6 linked regions of the Ovis aries genome follow. Each later gene encodes a partner of the first gene's protein in a complex. Links are inferred from orthologs where the notes say so. Each region holds a gene or a part of one and is shown in the gene's direction. Other genes may lie near its edges.

What was found.
Region 2: VAMP7 (region 1) and STX4 share a complex: the UniProt entries of both Homo sapiens proteins name them as parts of the SNARE complex. The link is inferred for Ovis aries from reciprocal best matches to the Homo sapiens genes VAMP7 and STX4.
Region 3: VAMP7 (region 1) and VTI1B share a complex: the UniProt entries of both Homo sapiens proteins name them as parts of the SNARE complex. The link is inferred for Ovis aries from reciprocal best matches to the Homo sapiens genes VAMP7 and VTI1B.
Region 4: VAMP7 (region 1) and STX5 share a complex: the UniProt entries of both Homo sapiens proteins name them as parts of the SNARE complex. The link is inferred for Ovis aries from reciprocal best matches to the Homo sapiens genes VAMP7 and STX5.
Region 5: VAMP7 (region 1) and BET1L share a complex: the UniProt entries of both Homo sapiens proteins name them as parts of the SNARE complex. The link is inferred for Ovis aries from reciprocal best matches to the Homo sapiens genes VAMP7 and BET1L.
Region 6: VAMP7 (region 1) and BNIP1 share a complex: the UniProt entries of both Homo sapiens proteins name them as parts of the SNARE complex. The link is inferred for Ovis aries from reciprocal best matches to the Homo sapiens genes VAMP7 and BNIP1.

Annotation. Positions count from the first base shown.
Region 1 is NC_056080.1:82,157,783-82,162,562, forward strand, and holds the start of VAMP7 (vesicle-associated membrane protein 7), read left to right. Parts: upstream 1-1,846; coding exon 1,847-1,992; intron 1,993-4,780. UniProt on the Homo sapiens protein: Involved in the targeting and/or fusion of transport vesicles to their target membrane during transport of proteins from the early endosome to the lysosome. Required for heterotypic fusion of late endosomes with lysosomes and homotypic lysosomal fusion.
Region 2 is NC_056077.1:27,672,894-27,677,802, forward strand, and holds the start of STX4 (syntaxin-4), read left to right. Parts: upstream 1-1,774; 5' UTR 1,775-2,059; coding exon 2,060-2,089; intron 2,090-2,276; coding exon 2,277-2,378; intron 2,379-2,491; coding exon 2,492-2,591; intron 2,592-2,726; coding exon 2,727-2,801; intron 2,802-3,303; exon of another isoform or gene 3,304-3,528; coding exon 3,529-3,599; exon of another isoform or gene 3,600-4,909. UniProt on the Homo sapiens protein: Plasma membrane t-SNARE that mediates docking of transport vesicles. Necessary for the translocation of SLC2A4 from intracellular vesicles to the plasma membrane.
Region 3 is NC_056060.1:77,615,911-77,620,803, reverse strand, and holds the start of VTI1B (vesicle transport through interaction with t-SNAREs homolog 1B), read left to right. Parts: upstream 1-1,823; 5' UTR 1,824-1,953; coding exon 1,954-2,068; intron 2,069-4,893. UniProt on the Homo sapiens protein: V-SNARE that mediates vesicle transport pathways through interactions with t-SNAREs on the target membrane. These interactions are proposed to mediate aspects of the specificity of vesicle trafficking and to promote fusion of the lipid bilayers.
Region 4 is NC_056074.1:37,666,622-37,670,779, reverse strand, and holds part of STX5 (syntaxin-5), read left to right. Parts: intron 1-937; coding exon 938-1,054; intron 1,055-1,131; coding exon 1,132-1,188; intron 1,189-1,346; coding exon 1,347-1,428; intron 1,429-1,898; coding exon 1,899-2,005; intron 2,006-2,173; coding exon 2,174-2,295; intron 2,296-4,158. UniProt on the Homo sapiens protein: Mediates endoplasmic reticulum to Golgi transport.
Region 5 is NC_056074.1:47,478,096-47,482,928, forward strand, and holds BET1L (BET1-like protein), read left to right. Parts: upstream 1-1,665; 5' UTR 1,666-1,731; coding exon 1,732-1,750; intron 1,751-2,884; coding exon 2,885-2,976; intron 2,977-3,216; coding exon 3,217-3,273; intron 3,274-3,402; coding exon 3,403-3,570; 3' UTR 3,571-4,656; downstream 4,657-4,833. UniProt on the Homo sapiens protein: Vesicle SNARE required for targeting and fusion of retrograde transport vesicles with the Golgi complex. Required for the integrity of the Golgi complex.
Region 6 is NC_056069.1:5,005,092-5,009,858, forward strand, and holds the start of BNIP1 (vesicle transport protein SEC20), read left to right. Parts: upstream 1-1,596; 5' UTR 1,597-1,605; coding exon 1,606-1,689; intron 1,690-3,849; coding exon 3,850-3,942; intron 3,943-4,767. UniProt on the Homo sapiens protein: As part of a SNARE complex may be involved in endoplasmic reticulum membranes fusion and be required for the maintenance of endoplasmic reticulum organization. Also plays a role in apoptosis.

The DNA of each region.
Region 1 (4,780 bases):
AGTTCAGCTCAAAAGACAGATGAGCACTTCTGTATACTATCCTTCTTACCAAGGACATTCCAAGAGGGAATCCCTCACCTCAATATAATTGCTGCGTTTCACAAAATGTGGTCCTGTGAATCACCTGCATCCAGACTGGGTTGGCTTAAATGTATATTTCAGGACCCTACCTCAGGCGTACTTGAACAGAATTTCAGGAGATTGTACCAGGGATTTGAATTTTTAATAAGGGATTCTCACTCTGCCACCCAGGATGACTCTGGCTTATTGGATGAAATGGAGCATGTTAACAAATAACATTAGGTTGAAGAATTAGCTGAAGAATAGGAAGACATTTGTTCATCCCTTTTATAAGTTTATGGCATTAAATAAGAGAAACCTGACTGTTCTGTGGGGAAAGATAGTATAAATTCATAAATATGAGGAAAATACACACAAACCTCTTTTTATTGAAGTATGCTTTATTGTGCTTCATGGATTTTGCTTTTTTTTTTTTTTTAACAAATCAAAGGTTTGTAGCAACCCTGCATTGAACAGGTCTATCAGCATCACTTTTCCAGTAATATTTTCTACATTTCATGTCTCTGTGTAACATTTTAATAATTCTTGCAATATTTCAAACTTTTTCATTTTATTTGTTATGGTGATCTGTGATCAGTCATCTCGGATGTTACGATTATGACTTGCTGAAGGCTCCATGATGGTTAGCATTTTTTAGCAATTAAGTATTTTTTATTTAAGACATGAATATTGATATAAGATATAATGCTATTGCACACTTAGTAGACTATAGCATATTATAAACATATCTTCTGTATACATTGGGAAAGCAAAAAGCTCATGTTACTTGTTTTATTGTTATATTTGCTTTATTGTGGTAGTCTAGAACTGAACCTACAGTATCTCCCAGGTATTACTATAGTCTTAAACTCATGCTGTACTGTTTTTGAAATATTTTGTTTATAAAAGATCTTACAATAATTTATAGAACCATTCCTCTCTTGTGGAAGATTTGGGTTGTTTTCACTTTGTTCCTGTGATGGTTAATGCCTTCATAGTAGAGGCAGTATACAGTGTAGAGATAAAATTGTGGGTACTAGAATCATACTTCCTCAGTTTAAATCACAACTTTTGTCACTGTAATTTTAGTTCTGTAATTCTGGATAAATTATGTAAGTCATCTATCCTTAAGTTTCCTCATTTTACTGTAAATGTCATAGTAGTGTATTAATTTAATTGATGTAAGGATTAAATGAGTTAATAAATGTGAAGTGTTTAAAATTGTGCCTGGCATATAGTAAGTACTTAATACATATGGGCTATTATTATTGATAATACATGTATTTGTAAATCTAGAATCTAACTTTTATTGAACTATTTCCCTAGGATAAATTTTCAAGATGAGATCACTTCATTAAAGAATGAAGACTCTTTCTGTCCCTTTGCCATCTATGGTCATTGCTTTTCAGAGGGTGATAATCAATTTGTGCTGTATAATTTGCAAATGCAACCTATCTATCAATGTAATTATGTGTGTATGTATGTATCATATGCATTGCATTGTATACACACATATACATAAAAGTATATATATATATATATGTGTATCCATTTGATTTGTCTCTGTATTTGAATGCACATCAGTATGTTTTAGGCTTGTACAAGACTGTGACCTTGTTAAGTCTGTTCTGTTTACTCTTACAGTGCCTTGGTCAATATTGTCATGGATGGATGGATGGATGTTGGTAAATGATAGATAGTAAGTTACTTTTGAAAGGTTATATCAAAGAAATATTCTAAATCTTATGTTTCTTTTTTTTTTTTTTCTTTTTGATAGATTGAAGCCATGGCCATTCTTTTTGCTGTTGTTGCCAGGGGAACCACTATCCTTGCCAAACATGCTTGGTGTGGAGGCAACTTCCTGGAGGTGACAGAGCAGATTCTGGCTAAGATACCTTCTGAAAATAACAAACTAACGTACTCACATGGCAAGTGAGTTCTGCTTTGTGTGGGTAGCGGGTAAAAGAAATGAATTGTATTATTATACTCAGAACAGTAGAAAACTAGAAAAGCAAGCTTCTCAGTAGATAATTTTAATAAGCTGACAGAACAATAATCTTTACCAGCTTAGAAAATGTCTGGTTCTATTAATTTTAAATTTAGCTAAAAATTATTTTATTCTGTCACCTAAGTGTTACTTGTATTTTAAAGAACAATATGGAAATGTTAGATATAAAAGTGATTCTGCTATAGAGCTCTAGGATATGTGAAACTTGATATAGTTATGATAAATAATAATTATTTGTTCATTCTTTCTGTAAATATTTACTGAGCACTTAACTGTCACCAGACACTTTGGTGGTGCTGGAGATACATGAAATTACTCAGTATTTGTCCTCGTTGTTTAATGGAGGTTATAGTTTAATGAAGGAGATGGTCAAATTCATAGATAATCACAGTAGAGAGTAGAAAGTAGTGGGTAGGGGGTGGTATTGCAGGTAGAAGGAACAGCTGGTAGAGAAGTATGGAGACATGAGCTCATAATGCATATTTAGTGAACTTCGGGTGATTCTCTGTGACTGGTGCACAACGTCATGAAAATAAAGCTAGAGAGATTGACAGAAGAGAAGTCCTATAGGGCCTCATAGGCCATGTTAAGGGGTTGTACATTACGCAGTGGGCAATGGGAAGGCATTGAACGTTTCCAGCTGGGGTGTGACATGGTAAGGTTTTGCTTTAGAAAGATCACTGTTGTGGCTGATTGGAGAATGAATTGAAGGGGGCATAGGTGGGAAATCTTAGTAATCATAAATATTGCCTCAGCCTTCCTCCTTAATACTTAAAAATCTTTTGCTACCTAACTCATCCTAATTTCCTTAGACCCTATCTCAGTAGGAGGTCCTTGTTGGTTTCCAGAACTAACTCCTTATATCATTTAGGATTTAGTGTAAGCTACTGCAACAGAGAGACCCTAAAAGACAGTGTTAATTTATGAGATAGCCCAGAGGTGAAGACTTCGGGACTGTTGGAGTGGCTCTGCCAGTTTCAGTTAGTGCCTTGGAATTCTGGCCAAGGCAGCTTCTTCAGCTCTGGTATTTTTTAAGGCACATTCCAGAAGTGGCTGATAGTATTGTTCACTACATCATTATGCAGCTAACCTAGCTGGAAATGGAGACTAAAATTTGTCATTTCTAGCTATGTAGCCATGTGCTCAGCTAGAACTCCATTACTCTGGAAGAAATTCTAGGGTATCAGGAGATAGCTCACAATCTTCTAGTCTACTCTTCTGGGCCTCCAAAATATTTGGATGTGCTCTTCTTCCCAAAAAACACACTTCCTCTCTGCAGGAAGTGGCCCCAAAGATTTATCTGATCGCTTTGTCCAGCTCCAGGTCCAGACAGTCTGGGTGATACAGTCCTCTCCGTCATACCCAGAGATGACTCCTGTGGCCTATTGACATGCAGATGTCACTGCTTCCCAGCAGTATTCAAATAACTACCACACAGTAATTTCAGAGACTCCTGTTCTGACCCAGGAGTGGTTCTGCTTTGCATGAAGAATTTCTTCATCTTTTCTCCCTTTGTTCTCCCAGAGGCTCCTCCTGGTACATTATCCTCTGTGGCCACGTCCAAAATGGGTATTAGTGAGTTTGTCATCTTTGGGAACTGCACAGGTTCCATAGTCTACTACTCTCTGGTGTAGTTTAGGGTCTGAGAAATTACCTAGGGGTTAAATGACTCTGGTTGCTCGTGAGTATGGCTTTAGGGTTTCTTAAAAAATTTGCTGGGCTTAACGATCGTGTTTCTAGTCAGTTCCCAGGAAAATGCTCAGGGAAAGCATGTGTCATCTTTTTAGAGGCAAGACTGGGAAGCAGGATATATACCTTCCACTCACATTTTATCAGGCAGAACTTATCACATAGCCATATCTAACTCTAAGGGAAGTTGGCTATGTAATCCAATGAAAATGTGGTTATACTGCAAGAAAGCAATGTTACTTATCTGCTGTGTCTTTCTACCTACATCCTTACCCAGTCCTACCTGGTCTCATTTGGAGTAAGTATCCGTCACTGAGTTGTTTCTTTCTTTTTAAGCTTCTACCTTGGTTTCTTTCCTATAATCATGTTCCATTATCCCAATCAAACATATCTTTTATTTCAGTCAGTTCACTTCACTCAGTCATTTCCGACTCTTTGTGACCCCATGGACTGCAGCATGCCAAGCTTCCCTGTCCATCACCAACTCCCGGAGCTTACTCAAACTCATGTCCATTGAGTTGGTGATGCCATCCAACCATCATCCTCTGTCATTCCCTTCTCCTCCTGCCTTCAATCTTTCCCAACATCAGGGTCTTTTCCAGTGTTATCACTGTATACCAAAAGAAAAAGTTCCATTTTACTGTATGAAAATAATTTTTTCCTGAAATCTGACCTTCTTCTTGCTATTTCTTTCATTAATAGCATCACCAGTCATTCAGCTGGCTAAGCTTAAAACTTCAGAATCACATTTGACTTCTTCACCAAATCTTTGCCATTCTGCTACAAGAGGTATTTTAGTCTCCTCTCTCCACATTCATCATAGTGTTTGCTCAGACATTCATTGTTTCTCATTCCTAATGACCTCCTCCTAACTGGTTTTTCGGCTCCCTTGGTGGCTCAGTCAGTAAGGAATCCATCTGCAATGCAGATCACCTGCAGCACGGGAGACACAGGTTTGATCCCTGGGTCAGGAATGTCTCCTGGAGAAGGAAATGACAACCCACTCCAGCATTCTTGCCTGGA
Region 2 (4,909 bases), on another chromosome or scaffold:
GTGCCAGGCAGTGTTGCAGGTGCTGGGGACATGGTAGTGAATAATTAAGGTGAAAATCCCTGTCCTTTTGGAGCTTACATTCTAGTAGGATGGAGAGGAGGGGTGGAGGCAGACAATAGATAACACAAATTAGCAAAATACATGGTATGTTAGATCCAAGTGAAGACATGAGAGATGGGCAGGAGTTGGCAAGGATCTGGTGCACGGTGGGGCTCAGGAGATGAAAAGAGGAAGAAAGACCCTGGAGGAGTAGCAGCATGGAATCCCTGGCAGAGACACCCGGGCTATTGACATCCTGGGATCCAGGAGAACTAATATTCCTCTCAGCTATTCTGAGACTCACTGAGTGACTTTGGGGCATCCTTCTATAGAAGGTGGGTTCCAAAAGGGCAAGCCATTCTTGTCTGCCCTGTTATATCTCTGGCCCTAAAACAGTGTCTGGCCCATACAATAAATATCCACTGAATGAATAAATGCCTACAGGGTTAGGGTTAGGGAAGTGTCACCAAAAGCCTGAAGCATAAAAGAGAAGACCAGGGAATCATAAGCTTCATCTTCAGTTATATAAGAGGCTAAGACTCTATCAACAAATATTTACTGAGGGCCTAACATGTGCTGGGGTTCCTAGTTGGTTCAGTGGTAAAGAATCTGTCTGCCAGTGAAGAAGACACAAGAGATGCTGGTTCGATCCTTGGGTTGGGAAGATCCCCTGGAGGAGGAAATGGCAACCCGCTCTGGTATTCTTGCCTGGAAAATTGTATGGGCAGAGGAGCCTGGTGGGCTACAATTTGTGTGTGTTAGTCACTTAGTCGTGTCCGACTCTTTTGTGACCCCATGGACTGTAACCCTCCAGGCTCCTCTGTCCACAATCATGCCCTCACTTTAGTAACTCACAGGCCACGATAATATGTAATATTTTTGTGGGTTCCAGAGGGTAGACCCCCAGTGCAAGGTGGGGGTCTGGGGAGGGGGTTGTCTAAGTGACATGCTGCTCAATGTAACAGACTTTTTTCTAAGCCCGAGCTGCCCTGAAATGCCCTGCTCAAAGGTGGTGAGTGCAGCGGGACTGCAGTGTTCAAGCCGGGCGCCAGCCAGCCGCCCACCTGTCAGAAACTGTGCCAGGAGTATGCGGGAGAAGAGAGTTCCGCCTCGGGTGAGGTCACTTCCCACCCCCAGATGCTCTGCCTACAAAATCTCGCAAGTCTCTGACGCTGTATTTTATTCTTTTCTGAATTTCAAGGTCTCATGATGTTGACAGCTCCAAATTCTAAGTCCTCAGTCTGCCCACACTCGCGGACCCAAAAGAAAGGAAGCCGGATTCAGCCTGGGTCCTACCACCCACTGTCTCTGGGGGTAGTCAGCGCCCCCTCCCCGCCTCGCGGGGGTTCTGAAGAGAGGTAACTCGCGCGCGGGGTGCCGAGGACGTCGTGGGGAGATGGGTGTTCCAGAGATGGAGTTGACAGGGCAGAGACATGTGACAGTCGAAGCGTCACGTTCCGTGGTCTGAGAGGTTGGGACCAGGCCGGTCACATGACGCGCGCGGGGGGGTTTGCACTATGGGGTGATGCGAATTGAGAGGGCCTCACAGATCACGTACCAATGACGCATTCCCACCCCTTTTGGCAACTAGATTTCCGCTGGAAGATGCGATAGTTCCGGCAAAGGGGGCGGGTTCTCACGTCCTGGCAATTTCGCTTCCGTTCGGGGCGCTGAAGCTTCCGACCTCGGCCTTTCCCTGGGGTGGGGAAGGGACGCGATCCGGTGCGCATGCTCCAGTCTTTCCAGAGGGGGCGGGGCTGAGGCTACAGGAGAGGGCGGGGGGAAAGAAAAGGGAATTCCAACCTGTGGAATCTTGGGGGTCCCCGAGGTCGGCTCCTTCCCTTTGAAACTGTGAATGGTGCCAGGGACAGAGCCTCTAGCGACTCTTGGGGGAGGGTTTGGGGCCTGCAGGGTGAGGGCGGAGGGGAGTGTCAGAGTGTGAGTTGGGTACGGGAGTTCCAAACTTAGAATCTTGAGGCCCGCCGGGCTCCGGCGCCGGCGAGAGGGATCTCGGGCCGCCATGCGGGACAGGACCCACGAGCTGAGGCAGGTGAGAATTTGGCGCAGCAGGGTTGGGGACGGGTGGACGGGATGGGGTCTACTGGAATGCAGGACTCCTGGTCCTCGGGGCCGGGAGGGATGACTGTGGGCTAGGAAGGAAAGTCCCGGAAGCCCGTGAGTTCTACTGGGGGAGAGCAGTAGCAAGGAAGTGATGCCAGTGACCCCGGCCCTGGCAGGGGGATGACAGCTCGGACGATGAAGACAAGGAGCGAGTCGCGCTGGTGGTACACCCGGGTACTGCACGGCTGGGGAGCCCGGACGATGAGTTCTTCCAGAAGGTAAGAGGCTGGAGTCTCGGCCTGGATTCACGAGGGGCCTGGAGGGCCCGAGGAGCAGAGCAGCCTGGAGCAGCGCCCACATCTCCCTCAGCCCTCTCGGTCATCGTCCCCAGGTTCGGACAATTCGGCAGACTATCGTCAAGCTAGAGAATAAAGTCCGAGAGTTGGAGAAGCAGCAGGTCACCATCCTGGCCACGCCCCTTCCCGAGGAGAGTGAGTGAAACCCCGGGTGCAGAACGCATGCTCAGCTGGAGGCTTGTGGGGGTTGTAGTTCCACACAGGTGGTGGCCAGGGAGATTTGTTGAGGTAGAGGTTGCTATTTGGGCATCATGGCTTTCTCTTGTTTAGGCATGAAGCAGGACCTGCAGAACCTGCGTGACGAGATCAAACAGCTAGGGAGGGACATCCGCGCGCAGCTGAAGGGTGAGCTCCTAGGACTTTAGCCAGATACTTTCCTCTGATCCTGCCCAACTCCTGGTATTTCTGGGCAGTGTGTGGTCCAGAGAGGCCAGTGATATATATCCAGGTCACACAGCAGGCCAACGTCTAGAATCTCCATCTCCTGGCTTTCGGTCCAAAGTTCTTTCCACAGCATATGCCTGCCTCTCAAGTTCCCTTATTTATAATGAAACCATGTCCATTTGATCTTTGTCCAAGGCAGAGGTTAGCGTTGCTACCTCCACCTTCAGGTCGTTATCTGCATATAACTGTATAGTCTGCCGTCCACATCCCAGGTTCTGCAAGGGTGGATTCATGCAGTCATGGATTGTGTAGTACTGTAGTATGCATTTATTTTCTAAAAATTCAGGTATAAGTGGACCCACAGTTGTGCAAGGATCATCTGTACTCCTACAATTCTTGCTGCCCAGTGTGTATTCTTTGGGTGGGAAGATGTGGGTTTTGTTAGGAAGCTTCTCCAAACATGTGGGAATTCTCTGATGTATTTATTGCAAAGAAAAATATACTTTTGCCTGTCAGAGGCTCAAGAGTAGTCATTTATGATGAATTTTATTTCAAAAAAAAAGCTCTGTGGAGATATTGTATCTCTCTCTATTGTATGGCTGCATGGCTGGGTCCCAGTCCCCAAATGAATTTCAGAAGCCAGAGGTCAAACCCCCTCCTCTACCAATACTTCTGTGTCTTTCCACAGCCATAGAGCCCCAGAAGGAGGAAGCTGATGAGAATTATAACTCCGTCAACACAAGAATGAGAAAAACCCAGGTGGGTTCATTATTCCCAGAAGTAGGACATTTCAGCAAGTGTTCAATAGATCATTAGATGGCAGATGTAAGAAGGCAGGGCTCTTAGAGATCATTAAATCCAACCTGATGATTTTCCAAATGAGGAAACTGAGGCTCAGAGATAAAAAAGGATTTACCCCAAGGTCAAGAACCCGGGTTTCCTGACTTCCAATCTGTTATAACACCTTGCCTTCTTCTCCTCCATTCAGTGAGAAGTTGCTGAGACCCCAGACATGATCTGGGCTTGGTTGTAGGAGATATACTTTCTAGAAGCCAAGATGGGGAGTTAAGCTTGCATAGATGACAAAGACATTACTCAGGTAGGACTTGGTAGTTAATGGCTCTGCCCAGGGAAAAAAAGGGTGCAGTCAAGTGACTGGGTGGTTTCCTACCCATGTGATGAGGACATCCTCTGCCCCAAGGACAGAATTCAAGTCAGGAAGAGGAACTTCCCTGGTGTGTGTGTATGGGGAAGGTCACTGAATCATCATCTTAATAAGGAGATTTGAAATGGTCTGAGCAGTGTCCTCTGGGTGCCCAGAGAGGCATGGTTTGGAGTTCTTGGAGGTCAGAGTTGGAGTAGGTGGGCCCAGAAATCAGCAAAGACCCCAGATTGAAGATTAAACAATTTGGGGATTTTTTTTTTAATGGAAGAGAAGGAAAGAGTAGTTTTATTACTTTGCCAAACAAAGGGGGGAACACAGTAGGCTAGTGCCTCAAGAACTGCCCCCCCACAATTTGGGCATCTTGAAAGGGTGCAACTGAACCCAGGACAGCAGATGTGTCCTGGAGAAAGGAACTCCAAGGAATGAGCAGATTTTAGGCATCAGGAAAATGGACAAGCAGGGAAGGCATTTACAGGGGGTGGGGGGCTTGTGGTAGTCATTGTGTGAGAGGCTGAGTGCCCAGGTGGGCCTGCAAAATCTGGGAAATGCAAAATCCTGGCACACCTTTAGTCTAAGCAGGGAGGCTGGTGTTCAGCAAGCATTCCACTAATATTCTTTGAGGGCCTACTGTATGCCAGACCCTTTTCTAGCTATTTAGGAAACAGCTGTCAACAAATGATCTCTATCCTCATGGAGATTTCATTCCAGTGGGGAGAGTCACCATAATAAATTAGTCAATTATTGTAGAAATAGAAGTATTAAGGGAAAAGAGAAGAGGGATTGAGAACAGCGGGAGAAGGCAGGTTCCAACAAGGTGGAGAAAACTTCTGAAGGTGACATTGGAACAAAGACTTCCAGGCTTCTGTGGGGCTTGCGCATTCTGGGCTGAAGAAATGGCAACTGC
Region 3 (4,893 bases), on another chromosome or scaffold:
TTAATATTTTACTTAATTTATATTGAACTGTCAATGACAAATAAAAAATTTGATGATTTACCATGTTTTTATTTACCAGAATAAAACCTGTAATAATTAAGCAAATTTAATTTGCATCAACAGAAGAAAGCAATTAAATGAAAGTTTAATTACGGTCAAAATAAGAAAACACTTTTCATTACTATGGTTATGCAATCAGTCCTCATTCATGAGGACAATTTGTCCCAGAGTTTGCCACAGTGCAGTCTCAATTCAAATGTTATTAACTTGGGTTGTTGATAATTTGATTGTTCATTCACCCATTTCTGCTAATCTTTTATGACACTGTTCAAAGACCACTTTTTCCAACCCAGGCTATTTATAATCTTTCCTTTTTGTACCTGCCTTTTCTGTAACACAATGCTATTCACTACTACTAACAATCCCAGACTTTGCTATCTCTGAATGCTCAATGAATACTGGTGTCTCAGTGATAAAGAATCCGCCTGCAGTGCAGAAGACTTGGGTTCCATCCCTGGGTCAAGAATATTCCCCTGGAGAAGAGAATGGCTACCCACTCCAGTATTCTTGCCTAGGAAATCCCCTGGACAGAAGAGCCTGGCAGGCTGCAGTCCATGGAGTCACAAAGAGCTGGATACAACTGAGCGACTGACACTTTTCACTTTCTTGGGACTTATCACAGTACACTGCTACTAACAACTGCAGACTTGGCTACACAAAGAGCTCAACAAATGTTTGTTGAATCAAAGGCCAATGAACTCAGTCTAATAAAAATAAGGGCCCAGGAGGTATATACATCACCAAATCATTTCCCCCGAACAGTCAAATGTATCTTAATGTGTGGGCAGTCTTCAGTATTGGGCTGCCAAGGAAACATTTCAGAATGAACTCCATAGGCAAACCATGTAATCAACGGAAATAGGAACTTTCTCCCACTAACCATGGGAACCCACAGAGTGCAGGAAAAGGCTTTGTAATCGTTAACACATTACACTTAATGGTGAAGCCAGGTCTGTCTTGCTCACTACATTATAAGTTATCCAAGCGATGAATCTTTTATTCACCAACACATGCCCAGAACCCAGCATAAAGGCTATGGTTAAATTGACAAACACCTGCTGAGTGAATGACTGCATGAGCAAGCCGATATATGAGCTCAGCCCAAATAAGAGGCTGAGCGCATATTTGAGGGGTCGCACTGCTGTCCGGGGGCCACTCCTGAAAGCATGTCACTCCAGTCACCTGCTCCCCAATAAAAGTGCTTTCAACTCGGGGGCAGGCAGGCACCTGGTCCTACTATCTTCTGAGAACTGAAAGCTAACAGCCGGAATGTGAACTGAGGAAATCAGGATAGTCACAGTGCGATGATAATGACGACGACGGCCAGGTGCCAACTGATACCCTAACCGCTGCGCATCGCGGTCACGCCGGCGGCCGCGGTTACAGCAGGACCACCGCCCCCGGCAACTCGTGACTTCCGAGTCGGAGCGTCTTTCGTGCCGAACTACAACCCCCGGCATGCACTGCAGAGCCCCCCCCCCCAATCCTTGCCGGAAGGCGGGGCCCAGGAAAGAGGCGCCCGCGTCGGCCGGCCCGCGGGTGCCCATGTTTTCCTTCCGCCATCCGGCCTCCCTACAGCCTCGGACTGAGTATTTCTGGGGTTCCGAGACTGCCGCTCGCGCCAAAGCGCCACCGCCCCTTCAGAAGTCTCCCGGGCAACGGAGCCAGACTAACTTTCTGTCAGGCTTTGACGCCCGGCGCGCCGTCAGTGACGGCAAGCAGGGGATGGGCGTTCCGGCCCGGGAGGACCCCGCCGCGGCCCCGGAAGCGCCTCGTCGGGGGACTGTGGCGGCGGTCGCCGTGATGCCTGAGGGGCTGGGCGGCTGACGGCGGAGTAGGAGCGGGCCCTGGGCCCAGAATCTCGGCGCCCGCTGCTCGAGAGCGGCCTGCGCCATGGCCACCTCCGCCGCCTCCTCGGAGCATTTCGAGAAACTGCACGAGATCTTCCGCGGCCTCCATGAAGACCTACGAGGGGTGCCGGAGCGGCTCCTGGGGATGGCAGGGACAGGTGAGGTGGGGGCGGGATGAGACAACGGGAACAGCGCTCCGCTAGCACCGGGAGGAAGAACCCCCACCTCCTTTCCAGACCCACCCTCCCGTCTCTCGCTTGGCGTCCTCAGGCACGCCCCCTAGGCCTGGCTGAGTCCCGGCGTCCAGAATCTCCGTGCTGACACTTAGGTACCCAGGGGTCCACCACGGAGTGTCATCTCTCTCTTGAATCCCCTGTTGCCTTCAGAGTTCGCTCGTTTCATTTTCACTGTGGCAAGATGGGCATGAGAGACCTTATACCTGTGACCCTTAAATCTGTAAACTGAGTATAATTGGTTTTCTTTGTGGCTCTCAGTACTTTGTTTTCCGCGCTTGAAAGTGTTCTCCAAAGAGGCCCATAGTTTTCACCAGATTGGCAAAGGACCTGTAGCACAAAAAGGGTTAAAAACCCAAAGCCATCATAACTTTGGAGGCTGGTGTAAATAACCAGTCTTGGGGGCGGGTAGGGGTTGGGGGAGGGATTGGTCTTTAAAATGAGGATGGTGGCCTTCAGGTGCGATCCTTTTATGACCTCTGCTTAGACCTTCCTGCCCCTTGATTTCATAATGCAGTGTGCTGCAAGCTTGTCTTGGGGGAGCTAAGAATTTTTTGATTGAATCTGTATAGGAAGGTCTATCATAGTTCTTTGCCTTAAAACAAGTAGATCTTGATGGCAAGGCCGATGAGACTTTCATTGCTTTTCCTGAAGCGTGGAAGCTTGAGTGTTTGCTCTGTTACCTAAGGTCACATGAATTGAATGACTCTGATGAGAATGAAACTCATACTTTTGTTTAACATATAGTTATTAAGAGAGGCTGCTGTGCACTCGGCACTGTGTAGATGCTGGTAATATTGCAAATTGCTGTGAAAAGACTTAGAGACCTCTGTTCTTATGGGTCGATGATGATATAAATATTTGGAAGTGGTGTTAAGGGCCATACAGGAAAATAAAGCAGGGCAAGGAATGGGGAAGCTCTAATTGTAAATTGGATGGCTATGAAAGGCCTCTTTGAGGAGGTAACGTTTGAGCAGAGACTTGAAGTAAGGGACTGAACCATGCAAAAATTTGGGAGAAATAAGTTTCAGGAGGACAGACTAGTACTGCTGCTGCTGCTAAGTCACTTCAGTCGTGCCCAACTCTATGCAACCCCATAGACGGCAGCCCAGCAGGCTTCCCCATCCCTGGGATTCTCCAGGCAAGAAGACTGGAGTGGGTTGCCATTTCCTTCTCCAGAATAGTACTGCAATAGTCCTTAAGCAGAAGTGAGCTTGGTATGCTCTAGGAAGAACTAAAGGGCCAGTGTGTTTAGGGTGGAATGAGCAAAGGAAATAATAGTAATAGATAAGGTTTTAAAGGGCCAGATTGTGTGGGGCCACGTGAACCCTGGTGAAAGATTTGCATCTTTATCTAAATACAGTGACTTGAAGTTAAAGGCTACAGAACAGGAGAGTGATTGGATCTGATTTACATGGTTGAAAAATAGATCATTTTTTTCACCTGGTGTTGATTTAAATTTTGCAAGATTTGTTTTTGTAAGGGTGTGGTTGTGGTTTAGTTGCTAGGTCGTGTCTGACTCTTTCCAACCGCATGGACTGTAGCCCACCGGACTCCTCTGTCCATGGCGTTTCCCAGATTGGAGTGGGTTGCCATTTCCTTCTCCAGGGGATCTTCCCAACCCAGGGATTGAAACCCCTGTCTCCTGCATTGCACTTGGTCTCCTGCATTGTAGGCGACTTCTTTACCAACTGAGCTATCAGGGAAGGCTAAATAATGCCAAAGGACATTCTGTTTCCAAAAATAGAAAACTTAGTTGTATTCACTTTTGTCATCTACCTGAGGACAATCAAAAAGGTGTGAATTTCTACCCAGGTACAAAATAGTCTCCACACAAGTTGCTGGTAACACTTAGTTGTTCAGTGGGTAAGTATTATATAGTATTTGCATATCCTCAGGTTATAAGAATTTCAACAGCCTTCAGTCCCTTTATTCACTGCTTTGTTTATATTCCTCAATAAATATTTGTTGAATAAGTTGGATTTAATTAAGCAAACATACTGGGGTGTCATCTCTGAATCCTTTTTTTCTTGTACTAAGACGACTTCATAGGCTTTCCAAAGCTTTCCTATCATGAATTATTAGGCACTGAATAATATAGTCACTGAATAATACATTAATACATAACACATCCCTTGCATTTAGCTTATGCTCTGTAATTGAATTCAGTATTTTCAATAAACATCTATCAAGAATTATGAATCACTCAATATCCTGGGTCTGGGGAGTTCTGTGAGTTCTTGCCTTAAATGGGAGATTTCCAAAGTGTGTGATGAGTCCTAAGATAGTTTTGAGACCGTGACAGGAAGGCTAACATGGCCGTAGGGGAGTGAGAGGAAAGCTTCTCAGAAAGGAGAACTTCTGAGTGTAAAGGGTTGAGTGGGAATTTGCCTGAGAGGGGAAGTGAGAAGAGACAACAAAGGAAGGGGAAAAGAAAAGTCAAATATTCAGAACTGTGACTGAAACAAGATGTGTGTAGGAGATCAATAGTAGATGAGGTAAGTAAGACACAGCCAGACCTTTCAGTTCAGTTCAGTCGCTCAGTCGACTCTTGGCAACCCCATGAATCGCAGCACGCCAGGCCTCTCTGTCCATCACCAGCTCCCGAAGTTCACTCAGACTCATGTCCATCGAGTCAGTGATGCCATCCAGCCATCTCATCCTCTGTCGTCCCCTTCTCCTCCTGCCCCCAATCCCTCCCAGCATCAGAGTCTTTTCCAGTGAGTTAGCTCTTCGCATGAGGTGGCCAA
Region 4 (4,158 bases), on another chromosome or scaffold:
TTCACTCTTTTGCAATAGTAATTTTAAATATATTAATTAGAATAATTTAAAATAGAAATTTAAAATAATTTAAAATATGTGTGTGTGTTTAAGTCCCTCAGTCGTGTCTGACTCTTTGCAACTCCATGGACTGTATAAGTCTACCAGGCTCCCCTGTCCATGGAATTGTCCAGGCAAGAATACTGGCATGGTAGCTATTCCCTTCTCCAGGAGATGTTTCTGACCCAGGGATTGAACCTTGGTCTCTTGAATCTTTACCATCTAAGCCACCAGGGAAGCCCATATATATATTTGGCTGCACCAGGTCTTAGTTGCAGCATGCAGCTTCACTGCAGTTCAAGATTCTTCAATTTTCATTGCAGCACACGGGCTCTTTAGTTGTGGTGTGTGGGATCTAGTTCCCTGACCAGGGATCGAACCTGGGCCTCCTGCACTAGGAGTGCAGTCTTAGCCACTGGACCCCCAGGGAAGTCCCTGCAGTAGTAATTTTTTAAAAGGAATTGTGTATATAGAAACCATTTCATTGATGTTTCTAGGACTCCTCCCATCTCCTGAGTACAGCACAGATGCTTTGTTGGTCAGCACGCTCTGGGTCTGAGATTCTGTCCTTTTAAGGGGTCTGTGGCCATGAACAGGGCCTCACAGTAGTGAGTAGGGCAGTAGGGTGGAGGGAGTAAGCAACTCAGTTCTTTACAAACGGACGAGGCCATGTTTCACCTCTTTCCGGCTCTACTCTTCAAGGACTGAGCCAGAGCAAGCTCCAGAGGTTGGACTGCACCAGCAGGCCCTTCTGGTCTGACTGAGACAGCATCACCCCTGCTAGTATGTCCGTCCTGCCATCCCTGCCAGCGATGTCCATGTGGGAAAGGCACTGGCTAAGGACCCCCCCCCCCCCATCCCCCGGTTGATACTGTTTTTCCGTTGGCTCTTTCACCAGGACATCAATAGCCTCAACAAACAAATCGCCCAGCTTCAGGACTTCGTGAGGGCCAAGGGCAGCCAGAGCGGCCGGCATCTGCAAACCCATTCCAACACCATCGTGGTCTCCCTGCAGGTGGGACCAGGGAGAGGGGGCGGCAGAAGGGAGGAGGCGTTGTCTTCTCTGGCTGACCCTCTCTCCTCCTCTTCTAGTCGAAACTGGCCTCCATGTCCAACGACTTCAAGTCAGTTTTAGAAGTGAGGACAGAGGTGAGAAGAAGCTGGGTAGGAGGGATAGGAATCTGGGCATGAGGGCCCCAGAGGGCAGTGGGAAGGGCAAGGGCAACAGTGTCATGGGCAGCAGGGGGAATCTAATGTGCCCGCTTTCCAGAGGCCTCAGGACCTTTGCATTTCTTCCCCAAACCCAGAACCTGAAGCAGCAGAGGAGCCGGCGGGAGCAGTTCTCCCGGGCGCCTGTATCAGCCCTGCCCCTTGCCCCCAACCACCTGGGTAAGTCACAGGCAAGTCAGGGAGCCCTGAGGGTAAGGCCTAGTGACTCTGGGTCTGAGGGTATCTCCCTAAGGCAGGGGTTGGGTAGGAGAGCGGAGGGTCAAGGAAGTTGCTAGGCTTTCTCAGAGGTCACTCCTGATGCCTGGGATCTATGGTCCACACCTAGTCTCCAGCATTCTCCCTGTTGAGGGTGAATCCAGTCATGTTCAAAAGAATGAGCTTTTTAAATTTTTGGTCCACTTAGTCATTATATTCACAGTCTGTCATTTCATTCTCAAAACCACCCTTTGAGAAAGCAACTGTCATTATCCCCCATTTTACAGGTGAGGAAACTGAGGCTCAGAGAGGTTAAATGACTTGTCCAGGGTCACAAGGCTAGTAAGTGCCAGAGCTGGGATTCAAATCCAGAGAATATGGGCTTTGAACCTTTTAACTGCTAAGAAGTGCCATGCTGTCTTTCTTCCCCACAGGGGGCGGTGCTGTGGTTTTGGGGGCGGAGTCCCGAGCCTCTGGGGATGTGGCCATTGACATGATGGACTCTAGGACCAGCCAGCAGCTGCAGCTCATTGACGAGCAGGTATCCACGCTCTGAGGCAGGGAGGAGTTGCTCCCCTGTTTTCTTGTGTGGTCACAAGCAAGTGTTTGGAATGTGCTGTGGGTGGAATGGCAAACTGGAAAGCCCCAGAGAGGCAGGACCCACCCTCAGAAGCTCCTGGTGTTCATGTACGCTCTCTCTCCTCTGAAGGATTCTTACATCCAGAGCCGGGCAGATACCATGCAGAACATTGAGTCCACAATTGTTGAGCTGGGCTCCATCTTCCAGCAGTTGGCACACATGGTTAAGGAACAGGAAGAAACCATTCAGAGGTGAGACACTTTCTCTCTTTAATCTCAAAACCAGAAGCCTTGTCTTCCCTGTGGATTGGCATCCTAGAGGTCCCCAGGGACAGCTTAACGCCCTTTGGAAGAGAAGAGTGAATCCTGTCCACACATAAGGTCCAGTTCACCTGTCTCCATCCACACCACAAGTATTAATTGAGCACCTGTTCCATGTCAGGCACTGTCATAGGCGCTGGGGATACGGTGATGAGTAGAACAGTTAAGTCTGTTCTGTGAAACTTACTTTGTAGTATGGAATTCGATAGAGTGAGTAAGGACAACTGTTTAAAAAGAATCGAGAAGAAATTTTCAGGTGGTGATAAGGGCTAATACTGAAATGGATGCAGTGTTGAGAAAGTGACAGAGGAGGAATATCAGATTGGGTGGCAGGGCAGGCTGCTCTGAAGGCTTTGTATTGAAGCAGAGACGTGAATGACAAGAGGGATCCAAACACTCAAAGGAAAGGGTAAGAGTAGTCTAGGCAGTGTGGACAGTCAGAACAGAGGCCATACAATGGGACAGTCTTACTTTATTAAAGAATCAAGAAGGCCAGTGGAGCTGGAAAGCAATGAACAGGAAGAGAGAAGTGCAGTATGAGGCTGGAGGGAGGTAGGCAGGGCCAACCCACAGAAGGCCCCTCTGGTCCCTGGTACCCTTGCTACTGCACAAGGCATTTTATCTGATCCTGTTCTTTGGTGCTTGGCATTCAGTCAGTCATAGAGATACAGCCAAAGACAAAAGAGACAAAGATCCCCGCCCTCGTGGAATGTACATCATAGTAGGGCAGATGATTTAGAATATACGTAATAAGTAAATGGTCCAGTGTATATTTTTGACCAGTGATAAATCCATAAATAAAAGCAGAGTAGGGTAAATTAATCAGGAGTTCTAGGTTTGGAGGAGCAAGTTGTAATTTTAAATAAGGATGGCTGTGGTAGGCCCTATTAAGAAGATGACATCCTTCCAAGACTGGGGGAAAGTGAGGGAGTTTGCTGCATGGATATACGGAGAAGAGTACCAGGCAGAGGGAAGAGCCTATGTAAAGGCCTTCAGGCAGGAATATGTCTGTTGAGTTAAAGGATAGCAAAGAAGCCACTGCATCTGGCGACAAGTGAGAAGAAGAGTAGTACCAGGTGAGGTTAGAGGGGCGATGGGAGACCAGATCAGGTGGGGCCTTTTAAAGCCAATGTGAAAAGTGAAAGTGAAAGTTGCTCAGTTGTGTCTGACTCTTTGTGACCCCATGGACTGTATAGTCCATGGAATTCTCCAGGCCAGAATACTGGAGTAGGTAGCCGTTCCCTTCTCCAGGGGATCTTCCCAACCCAGGGATCGAACCCAGGTCTCCCTCATTGCAGGTGGCTTCTTTACCAGTTGAGCCACAGGGAAGCCCAAGTGGGGAGCCATTGCAGGGTATTGATTGATCTGATTGATTGGCCATGCTAGGTTTTCATTGCTGCAAATGGGCTCTAGCTGTGGCAAGCAGGTAGCTTCTCTGTGTTTTAGGGCAGTGGCCTTTGGGCGTGCAGGCTCAGTAGTTGTGGTGCATGGGCTCAGTTGCCCTGTGGTGTGTGGAATCTTCCCAGACTAGGGATCAAACCCATGTCCACTGCCTTGGCAGGTAGATTGGACCACCAGGAGAGAAAAAGAGTTTATGATAACTCCAGGCTTTTGATGTGAGCAATTGAAGGGATTCGTGTCCTTCACTTGAAATAGAACTAGTTACTCAAGACAGAGCAGATTTGGGGCAAAATAAGTTGTGTTCCAACAAGAAGTGGACAGTTGTCTGTTAGACATCTGAGTGGAAATAGTGAACAAGCTGATAGATGTAAGGAGTTGAAAAGACAGGTTATG
Region 5 (4,833 bases), on another chromosome or scaffold:
CTCGGCGCGCGGGGGAGGCCGGGACGGGGCGTGCGCGGCGCCGTGGGGCGGGGCCTGGGTTGCGCGCAGGGGAGGCCGGGACCGGGCGGGCGCCGAGCTCTCTGGGTTGCGTGGAGCCTTAAAGGGGCGGGGCCTGGGCTGCGCGCGTGGGAGGCCGGGACGGGGCGTGCGCGGCGCCGTGGGGCGGGGCCTGGGTTGCGCGCAGGGGAGGCCGGGACCCGGCGGGCGCAGAGCTCTCTGGTCTGTGTGGCGCCTTAAAGGGGCGAGGCCTGGAACAGCTGGATAGAACTTGAAGACTTTGCTGCCGAGTCAGCTTTGGCCTTAAACTCCGGCTCGGTGATCGTCCGACTTATGGGCCAGAATCGCCCTGAACCGAGCAGTGAGCCTCACTCCTTGGGCTAGGATTCCTGACAGGAGAGGGCCTCAGCCCCGCACCCCTCCATCACACGCACACCAACACCGCTCTTGATGCACAGAACGAATGAAACGTCCAGGGAAAAGTCGAGGTGGAAAGGAGTTTACAACCTCCGGACCACTTGGTTTCTAAACAGATGTTTGAGTGCCTACTGCACGCGAGGAGCCGGGATGCGGGTGAATAGAACCCACAGGTTCCTGCCTTCTTGGCGCTTATGTGCCGGATGTGAAGACTAAAACGGGCAAACAAGACGACGTTAGGCAGCTATAGTGCTGTGATTGAATAACAAAAGGGGCTTGATGGGCTGCAAGGAGATCTGAAGAAGTGCCAGTCAGTTTTTGCTGAGACCGGAGCCTAGGGAGTGAGCCAGGAAAGGCTCCGAAGGAAGGTTCTGCAAGGCAGGAGTGGCCAGTGCGAGGGTGGGAATGGCCGTGGAGGGAGAGAGAAACATCACTGTTGGAGCTGAGAGAAAAGAGAGACGGGGTCGGGGTGGGGGGAAGGTCAGGAGGAAGACAAAGTCTGACTGTGTGCGGTGACTTCCCTGCTGTGTAAGCAGGCACACCTGCTCGTCTGCTTGGGCTGTTTCCTTTTTTGAAAAGCAGAGACGATACAAGTTTCCATTTCAGTGGATTGTCGAGTACATGGCACAGCAATTGCTCCATTACGGGGGGTGGGTAACTTATAACCCATCCACCGGGCAAGAAGGCTTTGTTAAGCATCTACTTTGTCAGGCCCCTTGTCAGCACCGCGTGCAAGGTCAAAAAGCGCTGGCTCCTCCCGTACCCACTCCCCTCACGCTCCCACCCCTCTTCCTGGTTCCTTGTTTTCTTCAGAGGGCTTCACTCCTGCGACTTCTGCACCGCTCGCTCGTTCCAGGCACTGATCTCGTTTGTCCTGCCGGCAGTAACTGGAACCGGGCTTCCCATCGAGTTCGCTCCGGGCCTCAACCCCGGCGGGGTCGCGGCGAGGAGCCTCTTTGGCCCGGGAAAGGCCCGTGTGCTCTTCCCAGTTAGGACCCCGACACCGCCTTAGGCGGGAATGGCTGCTGGAGTGTCTGTGGGCACCATAGTTGCCTCTAAAACCACAAATCATCCAGGAGTCCCGAGAGCAAACGCCAGCCCCATCCCCAAGTCAAACGACGGAAGAAACGTCAGATTCTTCCCGTTCCCACCGCCGAGTCTGTCGGCCAGATCTCGGCCGGAAGTGGGGGGCCTGAGGCGGAAGGGGTGGGGCCGGAAGCCCCTTCCGGCGACTGCGCCACGTCCGAGGAGGCTGTAATCAAGCGGTGACGGACCCTGGGGTCGGAGCTGGACGCGATGGCGGACTGGGCTCGGGGTGAGCGCGGAAGGGCGGAGGCGGATGGCTACGGGGCTCGCCGGGGCCGACTCCGCTGCTCTTAGGAACCGCCTTCGCCTTTCTCCGCGGCACTAGGTGGCGTTGTTGGCAAGACACTGCGGGCGGGCGTAGTTTGGGCAGGGCGGCCAGGGTGCAGCCCGCCGCGCTGTGGATGAGTCGCTGGGTCCCTTTGGGCGCTCCTGCCCAGCTGCTGCGTGAAACTGCGGGGTCCGGATGCCCGCAGTCCCCACCCGTTTCGTCCCTGGGAGATGACTCTGCACGGGACCTCGGCCGGGTCTCCTGGTTGACGGGTCCCTGAGGCTAGACCCCCTCGGAGTGAGAGCTGCGCGTGATAGGAGGGCCCAAGCATGCCTAGTACCCCACTTGCCTTCTGGGAGTCTCTCTTCACCTGCGAAGTGGGATGCTGATGCTTGTTTCGCTGGGCTGTTGTGACTTTTAAGGAGTTAAGGGTACAGTCGGTCGGTAGGACCTTTACACCTCTTATTTTGGGGTTTGTAAGAAGCCATGGTTCCTAGACTGTGCCCGCTTTTGATGAGTCTCCTTGAGGCATCGGGCTCGAGGCAAATGCGCACTCTGAACTTTGTGGGAAACAGTTCTCACCAGCCTGGTAGGGTGGTAATTCTGAATCACCAGGCCCAGCGCCTGTCTCGGGCCAGTTCTCAGCGGGTACCAGGCTCTGGGTGACACACAAGACCCTGTGTGGGATCAGTCTCAAGCCCTGTAAGTCTTACCAGAGCTCATTGGGGTTTATTTTGAGAACAGGTTCTGTGTACCTTGCTAGTGACACCTGCGGAGGGATGGTACAAGTTCCGTCACAGAATGTCTGAAAGTACTGGTTGAACTGAGCCCTTTGGAGGTGCCCGCCCACCCATCCCAGCCTGGATACATGCACAGGACCTGTGCTCACACTGTTGTTTATACAGTCCTCCTCATGTGTGAAGTTGGATCCTGGGTGAGGGTGGGGCCTGCTCAGCAGACACACAGAGGCCGGGTCCCCTTAGATGCCTGACTGGGCCAGATGGGATTGGAGGCCGGAGGCCACAAAGGGCCGAGATTATAGGGGTCACGGTTCATGAGCGGAGTCATGCTTTCAGCCTCTCTCTCTCCTCACAGCTCAGAGCCCTGGTGCTGTGGAGGAGATTCTAGACCGAGAAAACAAGCGGATGGCTGACAGCTTGGCCTCCAAGGTCACCAGGCTCAAATCGGTCAGTGGTGGTCCTCTCCTTTTGCCTCCACCTGGCATCTGGAGGGGGTGGTCAGCGGGCAGTAAAGACCTGGATGGGTTTCAGGTAGTTCCGTTCTCCTTGTCCCACCTGTGGCATACTCATCTGTGCGAGGCCCAGGTGGCATTTGGATCTTCTGATCTCTGTTGATCTTGTTGGGGGTCAGGTGCTGTTCACTGTGTTTGTCCCGGTCTGACCCTGCCCCCTCTGTGTCCTGACCAGCTGGCTCTGGACATCGATAGGGATGCGGAGGACCAGAACCGGTACCTGGACGGCATGGTAAGGGCCTGCGGTTTGCAAGCGTCACGGTCAGCTCAGCTCCCCACCACCTGCTTTGCAGCCCCCATCTGTGTGTGTGTGTTGCAGAGTCACTGTCCCTTTGTGACAATGTTGGAATTTCTCCCTCAGGACTCAGATTTCACAAGTATGACGGGTCTACTCACAGGGAGTGTGAAGCGGTTTTCCACAATGGCGCGATCTGGGCGAGACAACCGGAAGCTTCTTTGTGGTATGGCTGTGGGCCTGATTGTGGCCTTCTTCATCCTCTCCTACCTCCTGTCGAGGGCAAGGACGTGAGCCAATGGGAACTGGCTTCTGTGGGTGCCTGGGGCAACCAGGATTTTCCTCTGTCTGGTGTTTTGGGCTCCAGAGAACTTGTTTTCAAAATACTCCTTTGAAATGAGGATCATGGCTTAGGAATGTTTTTTCTGCGTGGTTGGGAGCCTCTAACCCAGTGAGCTCTTGTTAGCTGGTTCTATGTGTGCAAGGGCCCTATCCCTGTGGGGTAGCCTAGGCCCAGCTCCCTCTGCCACCTTGAGCTCTAGAAGCCCCAGCAGTGTTGGGTCCAAGCAGAGCATCTGGGAATCCTGGACACGGCCGCCTGTGAGCAGCAGTCCTTTCATCGGCCCTTGAGGTTCTGAGCATCTCAAGGCTTCTCTGCGCTGTCTTGGTCTGGATGAGGCTGTGTCTGATGTTTGAGCTGCCTGGAGCTGACACAGGAAGGGGGTGTGGCTGTGAAGCTCAAATCACTGCTGTCACCTCCAACTGAGTGTCCTCAGCCCGGAGACTGCAGTTTCTCTGGCCAGGGCTGCTGGTCATCCATGACCCGGAGAGATTCAAAGGTCCTGCTGAGTGGCCTCTTCCTGCCCTCCAGTCCCGCGACTGAAACCAGGCCCTCGGGGATGGGCAGGGGGTGTGGGTGGAGGAAGGGACTGCAGCGCAGGCTGAGGACTTGGGGCCCAAGGCCTGCAGTTTCCCAGCCGTGTGTCCAGGAGCAGAAGCCGATGTTCTCACGGGATTCAGGATCTGCCCAGCACCAGAGGCCTGCTTCCCGGAGACTAGACCTCTGGAGACATGTCCGTCTGACGCTTCAGAGTCAGGCCCGGTGTGAGGCGGGGCTTTTGTCGGTGTACGCGGGAGGTTTCTGGATAGTGACTTTTCTTAGGAACTGTAGGGCACTTTTTGAGGGTTTGTGGGCAGTTTCCACTAAGCTAACCCTAACCTGCAATGTCTGCCCACCTCTCCCTGGGCCCTCAGTGTCCACTCGGTCAGTCCCCTGCTCCTATGGACTGAACTAACAGGCCCAGCCAAACCAGTGGCTTCGTTGTACCTCCCTGTGAGTCCCCGGTGTCCTCGTCTTCCCATAAAAAACGCTTGTAAGAAGTCGTTGGCTCTGTGTCTTTCCTGGTTCCTGTTCCCATCTTCTTGGGTACGCTCCTCACTCTGACCGTCCAGCTGCCCGCACACTCGTGCCGCGTGTGGGGCATCCGCTCCTCTCGCCACCTTGCCCTCTCCTCTGCCCGTGCGGACCTCGCCTTCTGGCCCTGGCACTCTGCCGCT
Region 6 (4,767 bases), on another chromosome or scaffold:
GCATTAGTACCGCATTGCTTGTGGGAGTGTACATTGATACCTCTCTGAAAAGCAATTCGGTAGCATGTATCCAAATTTTAAAATGCATCTGTCCTTTGACCTAGCAATTCCATTTGGGCTGGGCAAGTCATTAGTCTCTCTCTGCCTGTCTCCTTATCTGTAAGAAGTGGATGGTTCTACCTCACAGGATTGCTGTGAGAGTTACATTAGAATGATGCACATACAGCACTTAGTGGCTGGCACAAGGGAAGTGCTTCAGAAATGCCAGTGCCACAGTAAGGGCAGTCGTGTGCGTTGCCTTCTCCCCATGCTCCATGCTACTACAGTGTGCTTGGTGCTTTTTTGTATTGCCTCATTTAGCCCTCCAGTCAATGCTAGGATTGCCGGCAGTGAGCCTCTGAGGAGACTGAGGCACAGAGAGATGAAGTGGGTGGTCAAGCAGGATTCAAGCCAGGGCAGATGCCCAAGATGCGTTGCCCAGCCAGTCTATTAGATGCAGTGGTGTGATGAACGCTTCAAGGGAGGGTGTTCTCTCCAGGACTAGACTTCCAAAAAGAGCTTGAAGAATCCAGGAAGGAGACAGGGCTGGTGGGGTGATTGATGCCCTTGAGATCCAGCTAAGAAACTTGGACTAGTTAATAATAATAATACAATGAAAGAGTCTCCATCTGTTGAGGGTGTGCTCTTAAGTATTTCCATTAAGTAATTTAAGGCTTCCCTGGTGGCTCTAAAGACGGTAAAGAATCTGCAATGTGGGAGACCCAGGTTCAATCCCTGGGTCGGGAAGATCTGCCTGGAAAAGGAAATGGCTACCACTCCAGTATTCTTGCCTGGAAAATCCCATGGGCAGAGGAGGGTTACATCCCTGCCAGGTTACAGTCAGTCCATGGAGTCACAGGACTAAGTGACTCACTTTTGTTTCCATTAAAAACTACATTAATCCGTCAAAACTACTCCAGCAAAGTATATTTATTAAAACCAATTGCACACAAAAGGGAAACGCCAGGAGTCAGAGAAGGGGTGTAAGTTGGAATGTGACTTGATCAGTTGGGCATTTTAGAAAGATCCCTCCAACCGTGGGCTGAACTGACAGGAGTTGTTAACCCTAGCAAACTACCTTGAATTTCATACATTAAAAAAAATAATGATAACATTTGTCATTTTCTTCTTTCACCCTACAACTTATTTTCACTGTAGAAAATATGAAAAATACAAGAAAGTGTAAAGGAGTATAAAAAATTGTTTAACTCCACCTTCCAGAGACATCCCAATGGATATTTTTTTCCAATCTTTTTCCCCTCTCTGTGCAAAAAATATGCAGTCATTAGAATGGCTGATGGGCAGAATATGGGGAGACGCCCCTGTTAAAGCGTCCTGACAATTCCCTCCTTTCTTTCTCTACGTCTTCTAGGTCCACCACAAGAGGCCGACTGATTTTTCCCACGTGTCAGGCAAAGGCCATAGGACTTGGCGCCACCACCCTCGCTCGCCTCAGGCCTGGTCTCTAGGGGGCGCTGCCGTAAGACCCGGAGGCTAAAAAGGAAACCGGTGCGAAAACGCGTTGGAACTTGGGCTCCGCGGCTTCCCGTAGCCGGCATTTCCAACATGGCTGCTGCCCAAGATGTCCACGTCCGTATCTGTAACCAAGAGATTGTCAAATTCGATCTGGAGGTGAAGGCGCTTATCCAGGTACTAATGCCCGGGGTCCCCGCCAGGGTCCAGAAGCCCTAAATCCCAGCTCAGCTGGCCTTCTGTGAGCTCAGCGGCCTTACTCCCGAGCTTTCCGCCCTTGGTCATGTCTCCGAGGCCACTGGCCCAGCTCCCTGCCCGCTACCCCTCAACTGTCTCGCCCCATGGCCCCTCCCCTGGATCGTTGGCTTTGGTATTCCGTCCGACTGCCGTTAGCTCGCCCTCTTCCAGGACACCCCGTCCTCTACCTCCACTCCTAACTGGGCTTCCCCTATGTGGCCGCTCCCCTACACACCCCTGGCCGTCACCTCGCCACCCCCCAGCCAGCCTCAAAACATACCTGTCATCCTGCCTGGCCCCGCCTTCTGATCCCGTCCTCCTCATGCTTCAGTAGCGTCCTGTGGGCCATCAGCCTCGCCCCCTGCTGGTCTGATGCCCCGTGGCACCAAAGGCCACCTGGCACAGGAGGTACTGGGTGAAATGAACGTGACCTAGACCGTAGTTGTGATTTTGTAAATGAGGAAGGAGTCTGCCTGAGCAGAAAGTAGATAATGGCAAAACTGGGACGCGGACAATGAAAGTCATCCTAGAAAAAATTCTTGGCGTCTACTTCGTTTAACTGATGGGGCGATTGAGATCCTTTGCCTAAGCCAATTAAGGGTAGAAGGTAATAGTTCAGTAAACCAGTTGGCATAGGCAAGAGTTGGGAATGTAGAAATAGTTCCTTTAGTTTATCAAAAAGAAACCAAGAGTTTTAAACCTTTCTTTTGGGCAAATGGTTTCCATTTCCAGCAGTGTTACTCAACCTTAGATGCTAAGTAAGAGTCTTCATCTAGCTGTGGTAAAAGGTGAAGGAAAGTAAGCTCCCTACGGAAATCAGGTGCAAAATAAACCAAATTAATAGCCGTTAAATGTTGCATGGAACTGTGATTTAATGAGTAATCCAGAGAACAAGAACAACTTGATACAAACATTTAAACTTTTTGAACTTCACCTTTCCCATGTATTAACTACAAAACATCTGGGCCAATTCTAGAAGAATTAATTTAGGATTCATAAAAAGGAAACTGGCTTTTCAGGTGATCTAAATTTCCTCAGCCCCATTTTGCACTCTCCAAGATTCACTTTCTCCTGAAGAGAACAATTGATTATAGCTAGATTTAGCACATCCTTACAGTGTGGCAACTCCTGCTAAGCCCTTTATGTGGGTACCTGGTTATGAAGTGGGTAATGATGGGTAAACAGACACAGAAGCTTCAGTAACTTTTTCAGGATTATACATCTGATAAATTGCTGCAACTAGAATTTGAATCCACATGGTCTGACTCTAGGGCCTACTTTTTACCTGGCCCTGGTAATTCTGAATGTCCAGAAACAAATTCGAAATCTACATTTGAACATGTCTGTAAACTGTGTGATTTATCATATTAATAGATGGTGTGTAAAATCAGTTCAAGCAGTTAAAGAGGTTCGTCTTGTCATATGCCGAGAATTTAGCATCCTCATTTTTAGGTTGGAAAGACCTGAAGTTATGGTGCCCTCTCAGGTGTTCGTTCTTGTCGGATATGCAAGCTGCTTTAAGTCTTTCATAATGGCTGGATGCTGTTCTGTTAAACATCAAGACTTATTAGTTCCTTAGTCCGTTTCTGGTTTTAAAAACGTGTTTATTAATTAATTTTTGGTTGCACTGAGTCTTCGCTGCTGCGCATGGGCTTTCGCTGACCGCACAAGCAGGGGCTACTCTTTGTTGCAGCGCATGCGCTTCTCATTGCTGCAGCTTCTCTTGTTCCGGAGCACAGGCTCTAGGCCCCGCAGGGCTTCGGTAGTTGCAGAGGCAGGCTCCGCAGCTGTGGTGTGCGGGCTTAGTTGCTCCGCAGCATCGGATTTCCTATCCACTGTACCACCAGGGAAGTCGCACTGTTGTCTTTCTGCTTATGCTTCTATGTTGCTCGCTCAGACTTGACTCCAAAGAGGGATGAAAAAAAAGTAAATTATAATGCTTCTGCTTGTGTTACAGAGGTAAACAGCAGAGATTAGGATGAATTACAGCCAGTAGGTCCAACTTAGTTGTGGTCTAAGCCAGCTCTCTCATTGTACAGCTGGTGTCATTTCCTCTCATTGCCTTGAGAAAGGCCCGTTCATCTCTTCAATGTCTCCTAGGATATTCGAGATTGTTCAGGACCATTAAGTGCACTTACCGAACTGAACACTAAAGTGAAAGAGAAGTTTCAGCAACTGCGGCACAGAATACAGGTGAGTGAGTGCGCAGCTGGGACGCTGCGCCTGGGGAAAGAAAAGAAAGTGCATTGGAGAGGTTTTGCATTGTGTTAAGTTAATGATTTGTTTAAAATCTAGATTCTTTAATGGAGCGTAAACTCAATGACAGCAGGCCTGTTCCTGGTGATCGCTGCGTATCCCTCATGATGGTACAGATTGAGCACCATCGTTGAGTGGAAGAATGGGTGTGTGGGAAGAAGGGAGGGAGGGAGGCAAGGTGGGGGAAATGGAAGTTCTGTCACAGAGAAGCAGAGAGAGTTCTAGAGGAAAAGAAAGTGAGGGCTGCTGCCCCTCACTGAGGTGGGTGGCTGTGTCCTGGGGTTTGATTATTTGGGGCTCTGAGTCTTTCTTTTCAGAAGGCCTTACCTGTGGGGCTTTCGTGCGACCTGGGTTGAATGTCTCTTCAGAGGTTTTTGCATTTGCTTTTGCCAGGTCTCCTGGGATTACCACAGGTCTGGGAGCACTTTTTATGTTTGTTTCTCCTTGTGGAGGTTCTTGAACCACTCAGGAAGGATGAACTTGGACCCTCGATCCATGTGAGGGGAGTGCCATGGTTATAATCGGGAGAGACATTTATATCCCTCTAGCCACGTCTCACAACAGAAAACTCCACAACTTCTCTGTGCTGGTTGACAGACGTTTTCCTAGCTCACCTTTTCACTGAGGGTATTTGTATCCCTTTGTGCTCCTGGCTTTGCAGTGGTCTCAGTTCCAGTTCCCAGCTTCAGGTGGCCAAAGCTTTGTTTTCTGTCCCCACATGGACTTGAAAGCCGTGTTTGCCATTCAGTCTGAAATATGTAC